Canis lupus familiaris: one gene and its partner. The protein of the gene in region 2 binds, or shares a complex with, the protein of the main gene of each other region. Links are inferred from orthologs where the notes say so. Each region holds a gene or a part of one and is shown on either strand. Other genes may lie near its edges.

Region 1 (4,338 bases), on a different chromosome or scaffold from region 2:
GCCTGTTGAATCAAATAAGATTGCTATACATCTATAAAATGGACAATGCCAAAATTCAAGATCTCAAACCATTGTTTTTTAAAAAATAAGAATACTTCACTTAACAACAACTTTAAATTATCATGCTGAAGTACCTCTCCTCCTGAGTCCCCATCACCACCCCACAGAAGCCACAGGTTTTCCTCTACAAGACCAAGTGACTACAGAAACCCACTATGGCCCACATGGATCACCTTTAGAATTTCTCTCATATCACCTATATGCTGCTGAACTTCCAGTACATAGCAAAAGCTTCTAATATATCCCAAAGCGTTTCTGAGGGAGCTGTGTATGCTGGAAAATTAATCTGACCTAGCAAATTCAACTGGTTTTAAAGAAATGAAATATTTTTGCTCTCAAGTGTACATAATAGAGCTACTTAAAAAAGCTACAGACATTTGCTACTACCTTGGCAAGAAGGTAATTATTTGTTAATAAAATGTTTGAGAATCTATCTGAGACAAGCATTTTGGGAGGACACAAAGATAAAAAAAAATGCCTTTGAATGTTGTCTTGAATACAATACTTTTCAAATTGGATTTACTTGGCAATTAGTCTTTTAGAATACCTATCTGGATCAGAAAGCACCCTTGGACCTAAAAAAACATAACTACAGTAGCACAGGTATTGTGGTCTGAACATAGGTATTCAGACATTTTCTAGTCTAATGCATATATATATATTTAGTAAGGTGCTCTTTTGAGGGCTTGGTATTTATGGCAGCCAAACATGAATGTAGATGGTATTTAAGATAGTAATATGAAAAACTTAAGCAGGGAGATGAAAGGATACCATTAGTAAATGCACAAGTATGACATTTTCTAAACCCACAAACACGTTTGGCTACCTACAAGAAGTACATTAAATCTGTAGCCCTGATGGCGCTATCCTTGCAGATAACTTCACCTATGAGTTGCATTACAAACAAGATTTCATGAAACAAGTGTCACCATGTCAGAACATAAAAACACTGCTGGGAACATGTTTTTCTATGCAGGAAACATAATATGGTCCAAAAAAGCATTTGTTCAGCTTCTGCTTTGTAGATACAAAGCAAACTTTTTCTAAGAACCATTAAATCGGGGCAGCCCAGGTGGCTCAGTGGTTTAGCGCTGCCTTCAGCCCAGGGTGTGATCCTAGAGTCCCGGGATCAAGTCCCACATCGGGCTCCCTGCATGGAGCCTGCTTCTCCCTCTGCCTGTGTCTCTGCCTCTCTCTCTCCCCCTCTCATGAATAAATAAATAAAATCTTAAAAAAAAAAAACCATTAAATCAACAGTTTGTTTGTATCGGTCAGCTTCACTGGCTACAAGTGGTTGTGGGAGTAGGACAAGTAAAGGAAAAGACAAAATTCTGAACTCCCATTTCCTACTCTAATCAAACACAGAATTTCACCAAAGTTAAACTTTGAAGCAGTCACGTATCCACCTGAAAGGAATGGCTGGTGTCAAACTGATATATTACAAGAGGAGCATAACCTAACTAGAAATGACACTAAAATAAGGCCAACGACAAGAACATCCTACATCTACAAGTTCTTTCTTTATGTTAAATCAAATACTTTTGAGGGGATCACTGGGTGGCTCAGCGGTTTGGTGCCTGCCTTTGGCCCAGGGAGTGATCCTGAGGTCCCGGGCTCGGGTCCCACCTTGGGCTCCCTGCATGGAGCCTGCTTCTCCCTCTGCCTGTGTCTCTGCCTCTCTATCATGAATAAATATTTTTAAAAAATAAATCAATTACTTTTTTGAGGCAATCTAATAGCCAATTTGTTGATAACATGATTCCATTAATAACCATATATGCTTTTTTCCCTGGTCTTCCACATTTTCCTTTCCAATGAGCTCAACTCCTTTCCTAGCCTTATCTCCTCCCCTAATCCCCTCCCCCACCCTTTCATTTCCCCTTCTTCCTCTACTCTTCAGGGCTGAGGATCTGCCCTTCTACCATGGGGGGTAAAAAAAAAAAAAATCAACATCTGTAATTCTAAGAGTTATCTTCGAATAGTAATGGTGTTTTCTTCTATGGAAACCAAATTTTTATGTTAGTTGGAGTTGCAAAAAAAAAAAAAATACTAGGATGGTTCACCACATGAGTATGCCTCAAAGCATGAGGATGAAACTGACGTTCTGTTTTTCAGGTTTCAGAACCCTCACTCTAGGGCCTTCGTTCGTTTAAAAGGGGGTCACCCCTGCCTGTGGGATCATATAATAAAACCACTTCGTCTTCCATACGAAATCATTTTTCCCTGGGACTGCTTACGTCGTCTGGAGATTCGCCACCTCCCACTCCGGATGTGGCTGCACTGGGGAGACGGAAGCAGACACCATCCCCAGTCAGTCAGAAAGTAGTGTCGCCAGGAGTGACACGGCCTGGAAGAGCGACGCCAACCAGGAAGCCGGCCGCGAAACCTCGGCGGGCCCGGCGCCCGAGCCCACGCTCCGAGAGCTAACGCGGCTCCAGGCCAGGCCTTAGCGCCTCGCCTCGCGGCCTCCTCCCTACTCTCGCGAGGGCGGCGTGAGCTGCGCCTCTCAGCCCCGGAGCGGGCTCGCGGGGTCCAGGCTCGGCCGCTCACAGCCTCGAGACTCCCCTAACCGCACCCCCCGCCGGAGGCACGCGCGGCCCGGGAGCCCACCTGATCTTCCTCGCTGATGTCGATGAAGGCCGGGACGCTCATGGCGAAGACCCGGGCGCGGCGACCGCTCCGCTCGCAAAACCACGCCGACCGGAAAGAGAGCGGCAGCAGCGCGCGTGGGCGGGGGGGAGGGGGGCGGCCTCACTACCGCTTCCGGGTTACCCCGCGCCCGTCTTGCGGGGCGTGGCCACCGAGATGGGCGGGACCAGGGGGGCCAATCCCACCTCGCGCTGGGGGCGGGGCGCACGTGCGTGGGCGGGCCTCACGGGCGCCCTCGACCGCGCCGGGTCTTGGCTCCGCCTGTCGCTTCCATCGTCCGGAACGGTGTCGCCTGCCGTCCTTCGCTGAGCTCCCGTCTTGTGCTTCAGTTAGCTCAGCTCCCCGCGCAAATCTGTAGCTTGCGGGGTCAACAGTTGTGCTCAAAATAGTTGTTCCTTTGCAGCCACGCCCCCGCAACCCCCGCAGCCCCCGCCAGCCAGTCCAGGCCACGCTGCCTGGTGCCTCCGTTGCTGCCCCCGGCCACCGAGCCTTGGCTCTGGACCGTGCAAAAACAGCCTTCAGGGGGTACTTTTTTTTTTTTTTTTTTTTTTTGAGCTCGACGATTTTTTTAATGAGCTAAAATTGATCCTATTTTTCCGCGTTTATTGGGGGACTTGCTGTGCGCCGGGGATAACCGTAGTTTCCACTAGAAGCTCGGGATTGCAGTTTGCATTCCAGCGAGCGCACGGAACACCAACATCTCCAAGTAATGAGAAAGGCAGCCCTTGTTGGGCATCGACTTTGACAGCCTGGCCTCAGGATTAGAATTCCTAGGGATGGAATCCCCGCCCTGCACCTTTTGATGGGCGTGCGGTGTAGGGCGATGGCTTAACATCCGTGTTTCAGCCTCCTCTTGGAAAAATAAGAATAATTAAGTACTTACCTCGGTGTTGCTGTGAGGTTAAGTAATTTAGCAGATAAAGCACTTAAAAAATGTGAGCACTGCCAACTAGATAAAAGCCTAAGAGGAAGGGGGTTAGAAAAAAAAGAAAGAAAACCAGAGAGCGTATAAGTTTGTGTGCATAAGATGATGGAAGAAAATTGCTCCATTCGGGCGTCTGGGTGGCTCAGGGCGTGATCCCTGGGTCCTGGGATTGAGTCCTGCTTTGGGCCTCCCTGCAGGGAGCTTGTTGCTTCTCCCTCTGCCTGTGTCTGTGCCTCTCTCTGTGGTGTCTCTCATGAATAAGTAAATAAAATCTTAAGAGAAAAAAATTGCTCAATTCATATTGAGGAAAGTATGAATTAAGAAACCTGTGGGAAAGTGTTTCATCCTAAGAACAGCAAGGAAGGGATGCAAGGTAGGGGCAAGCAGGCCTGTGGGCTGGATCTAAGTAAGAGAATAGCAAAAAAATGAAATAGCCATGGCCAGCCAGATCATGGTCTCCTAGGCCGAAACGAGGATTTTGGCTGTGTCGGCTAATGAATTGGGAAGTCTCTGACATGTTTTGAGCAGAAGAGTGAAGAGATCAAACTTAACTTTTTTTGGCAAAGGATCACCCTGGCAGGGGTATTGCAATTTGAGGTAATTTGGGCCCTAGTCAAAGTAGTGACACCAGCTCGGAAGTTATTACAGAAGGCAGAGTGAGAGAAGGTGGTGGAGTGGTGGTAGGAATCTGAATTCTGATGTTT
Region 2 (3,583 bases):
AGGCAGAGGGAGAAGCAGGCTCCCTGTGGGGAGCCCGATGCGGACCTTGGTCCCAGGACTCCAGGATCATGCCCTGAGCCGAAGGCAGATGCTCAACCACTGAGCCACCCAGGCATCCCATGTGGGTCATTTCTAATGGGTGTAGTCATATATGCAGGATAAATTCCCAGGCGAGATATTGCTGGATGAAAAGGCAAATCATATTTGTGGTCTTGATAAATGTTCACAAAATGCCCTCTGTATGGGGTTGTAACCAGTTTGCATTTGCCAACAATGTATGAAAGTGCCCGTTTCCTCCAGTCGGGAACATTTTAGATACTTTTTAATAATTTATATTTGTGTATCTAAAAATAGCTACATGTGTTTCTTTTTTTTTAATTTTTTTTTTTCATTTATTTATGATAGTCACAGAGAGAGAGAGAGAGAGAGGCAGAGACACAGGCAGAGGGAGAAGCAGGCTCCATGCACCGGGAGCCCGATGTGGGATTCAATCCCGGGTCTCCAGGATTGCGCCCTGGGCCAAAGGCAGGCGCCAAACCGCTGCGCCACCCAGGGATCCCTACATGTGTGTTTCTATGATCAGGACAAGCAATAGGATCTTATAGCTCAGTCTAAGAAGCCATCTTGATTAGATTTTTCTTGGTCATTGAAGTTGAAATTTATACTGCTTTTGTTGTGTCTTGGTATTAGTCTCCAGTGTAAAGAAACCTTAGTTTGATAGTGTATTCAGTATATTCACTTTTGATGCAGGAGATACTTCATGATGTCCAGATCTGCTAAGATGGTTAAGTCAAGATATTTCCCTTTTTCAAGAAAGTATTCTGATATTTCTTTAACTTGGCATAATGACGTTTCTCATTTCATCTTCTCCATGAGAAACAGAATGCTATGTATTACAGAACTAGACTTCTGAATTAGAATTTGCAAACTGCATAGACATGGATGATCACAAATGGCACAAGCTTCCTTTACTTTTTTCCCCACTTCAGTAAATACTGTCACAGACTTTCCCTTATAGTAAAATAATGCGTTTGTTATAGGAAATATCACAGTATAAAGATGTTAACAGTCATCTGAGAGGAGTAGGACTGGGAAATAAGTGACAACTTCCATGGTATGTGTTTAAATTTGTTAACAAATAACAATGTGTTACTTTTGTAATAGTAACAAATATAAAAAGATAAGTTCTTTTTATGATTCTTTGGAGAAAGACATTTTTTTTATGTCTACATAGTATAGCTGACTTTTGAACAATATTGAGGGTTAAGGTGCTGACTCCTTGCACAGTCAAAAAAATCCACATACAAATTTGACTCCCCCGAAACTTAACTACTGATAGCGTACTCTTTTTTTAAAATTTTATTTATTTATTCCTGAGAAAGAGAGAGAGAGGCAGAGACACAGGGAGGGACAGGCTCTATGCAGGGAGCCTGATGTGGGACTCGATCCCTGGTCTCCAGGATCAGGCCCTGGACTGAAGCGGCGCTAAACCACTGAGCCACCTGGGGTGCATATGATAGTGTATTCTTGATCAGAAGCCTTACTGCTAACATATAAATAGTCAACACATAATTTTGTAGTTGTATTATATACTGTATTCTTCCAATAAAGTAAAAAAGAGGGGGAAAATGTTATTAAATCATAAAGATGGGGAGCCTGGGTGGTACAGCTGGTTAAATGTTGGACTGGACTCTTGGTTTCAGCTCAGGTATGATCTCAGGATCATGAGATCCAGCCGCGTGCTGGGCTCCATGCTGAGTGCGGAGTGTACTTCAGATCTATCTCCCTTTCTCCCTCCTGCTTATTATTTCTTTCAAATAAATCTTATTGAAAAAAAAATCTGTGAATAAGTAGACCCATGTAGTTCAAACTTATGTTATTTGAGGATCATCTGTGTTGTCATATTTAACCATTCTGTTGAAATTTGGGTTGTCTCTAAATGTATTTGAAATTATAAGTAATACTCCATTGGACACCCTTGTGGCTAAATGTTTGTATGCATCTTTGGTTTCTTATGGTAAATAACTAGAAGTGGAATTCTTTGATTCCATATAAAAGTATTTTAAGACTCATACATCTTACTAAGTTGCCCTAGAAAGGTTATTTCAAAATATAGTCTTTAGTAGCAGATATGAGTGTACAGGTTTTCCCTTTTCTATAATGTCAGTTCCATCTTTTATTTTATTTTTTATTTTTTAAAGTTTATTTATTCATGAGAGACACAGAGAGAGAGGCAGAGACACAGGCAGAGGGAGAAGCAGGCTCCTTGCAGGGAGCCCGATATGGGACTCGATCCCAGAACCCTGGGATCACGCCCTGATCCAAAGGCAGACACTCAACCACTGACCCATCCAGGCGTCCCTATTTCTATATGTTTAATAAAAATATTAGCAATACAAAAATGTACTGGTCCATCACAATGCCAGATGTTTTAAAACTTCCTTTTTGTCTCATTTTAGTTAGAAGAACCTGAAGAACCTAAAGTGCTAACACCAGAAGAACTATTAGCAGATAAACTGAGGCTAAAGAAATTACAGGAAGAGTCAGACCTTGAATTAGCAAAAGAAACTTTTGGTAAGTGGGCGGGGTTGAGAAGGTGATTGCAGTGAAATATTGAAGTTCCAGGTGAATATGTTACTAGTTGTGAAAGTTTAGAAGACACTTCCTTTTTTGAAATAATACAGTACTGGCTTACTTAGATACTAGAAAGGAGTTTTTAATATTTATATTTGAGATTTCATTGCTTAGAGTGAAAAACGTGCTTAGGGTTTTGAATAATTAGGAGTATCAAGTAAAAAATTATTAAGATAAGTCATTGGACCCAAAATAAGTATACTGCTGCTTTAAATACATTTATCAGCTGGATGAATTGGATGAAATGTGAGACCTGTAGCTTTGAGGTTTAAATATTAGACTGACTTATAAGGCTGTGCCTTTGCTCAGGGTTATTTCTTTGTGACTCTTTTTGGCCTTCTCCATCCCCTGTCATTGGAGGGCTTCTATTTCTATGTGCCATCCCTGCAGCTGTGGTTGGTACGTGATATAAAAGACATGTTCAGGGTCCTATAGATAGGTAAGTTCAGAGTGTTCCAGGGGTAAAGGGTAAATAAAGTAAGAAACATGACCAGAGGAATAGTTTAAAGCTCTCACTTTGTTTAAGCTCATTGTTGTCATTACCTGTTGAGTACTTATCAGAGTAGAAGATCATGTTGAAAGTTTTTTTTTTTTTTTTTTTTTTTTCGGATCATGTTGAAAGTTAAGTAACTTTGAAATTGAAACCTAGAACTAAGAAGGATCTAGGTTATCTTGACTTTCCCCCCCCATCCTTCCTTTTTTTTTTTTTTTAATTTAAATTTTTCTAAAATTCAATTTGCCAACATACAGTATAACACCCAGTGCTCATCCCGTCGAGGCCATCCTTCTTTTTTTAAAATGGATCAAGCGGGCCATAATGATCATTCTCCCTTCTGTGGAAGGTGTGATTTTTCTCTCTGTACGAGTTGCTAGTAATCTAGAGTTGCTGTGATTCTCCTGTGCACTGGTGTGTGCTTGGCATGTCTTAACTGCACTCATCTCATTACAG

Evidence for each region. Proteins that work in one complex are often made in the same cells at the same time.
Region 1: EIF3J (region 2) and EIF3M share a complex: the UniProt entries of both Homo sapiens proteins name them as parts of the eukaryotic translation initiation factor 3 (eIF-3) complex. The link is inferred for Canis lupus familiaris from reciprocal best matches to the Homo sapiens genes EIF3J and EIF3M.

The regions. Positions count from the first base shown.
Region 1 is NC_049239.1:35,364,106-35,368,443, forward strand, and holds the start of EIF3M (eukaryotic translation initiation factor 3 subunit M), read right to left. Parts: upstream 2,829-4,338; 5' UTR 2,713-2,828; coding exon 2,671-2,712; intron 2,481-2,670; exon of another isoform or gene 2,298-2,480; intron 3-2,297; coding exon 1-2. UniProt on the Homo sapiens protein: Component of the eukaryotic translation initiation factor 3 (eIF-3) complex, which is required for several steps in the initiation of protein synthesis.
Region 2 is NC_049251.1:11,510,424-11,514,006, forward strand, and holds part of EIF3J (eukaryotic translation initiation factor 3 subunit J), read left to right. Parts: intron 1-2,459; coding exon 2,460-2,574; intron 2,575-3,583. UniProt on the Homo sapiens protein: Component of the eukaryotic translation initiation factor 3 (eIF-3) complex, which is required for several steps in the initiation of protein synthesis.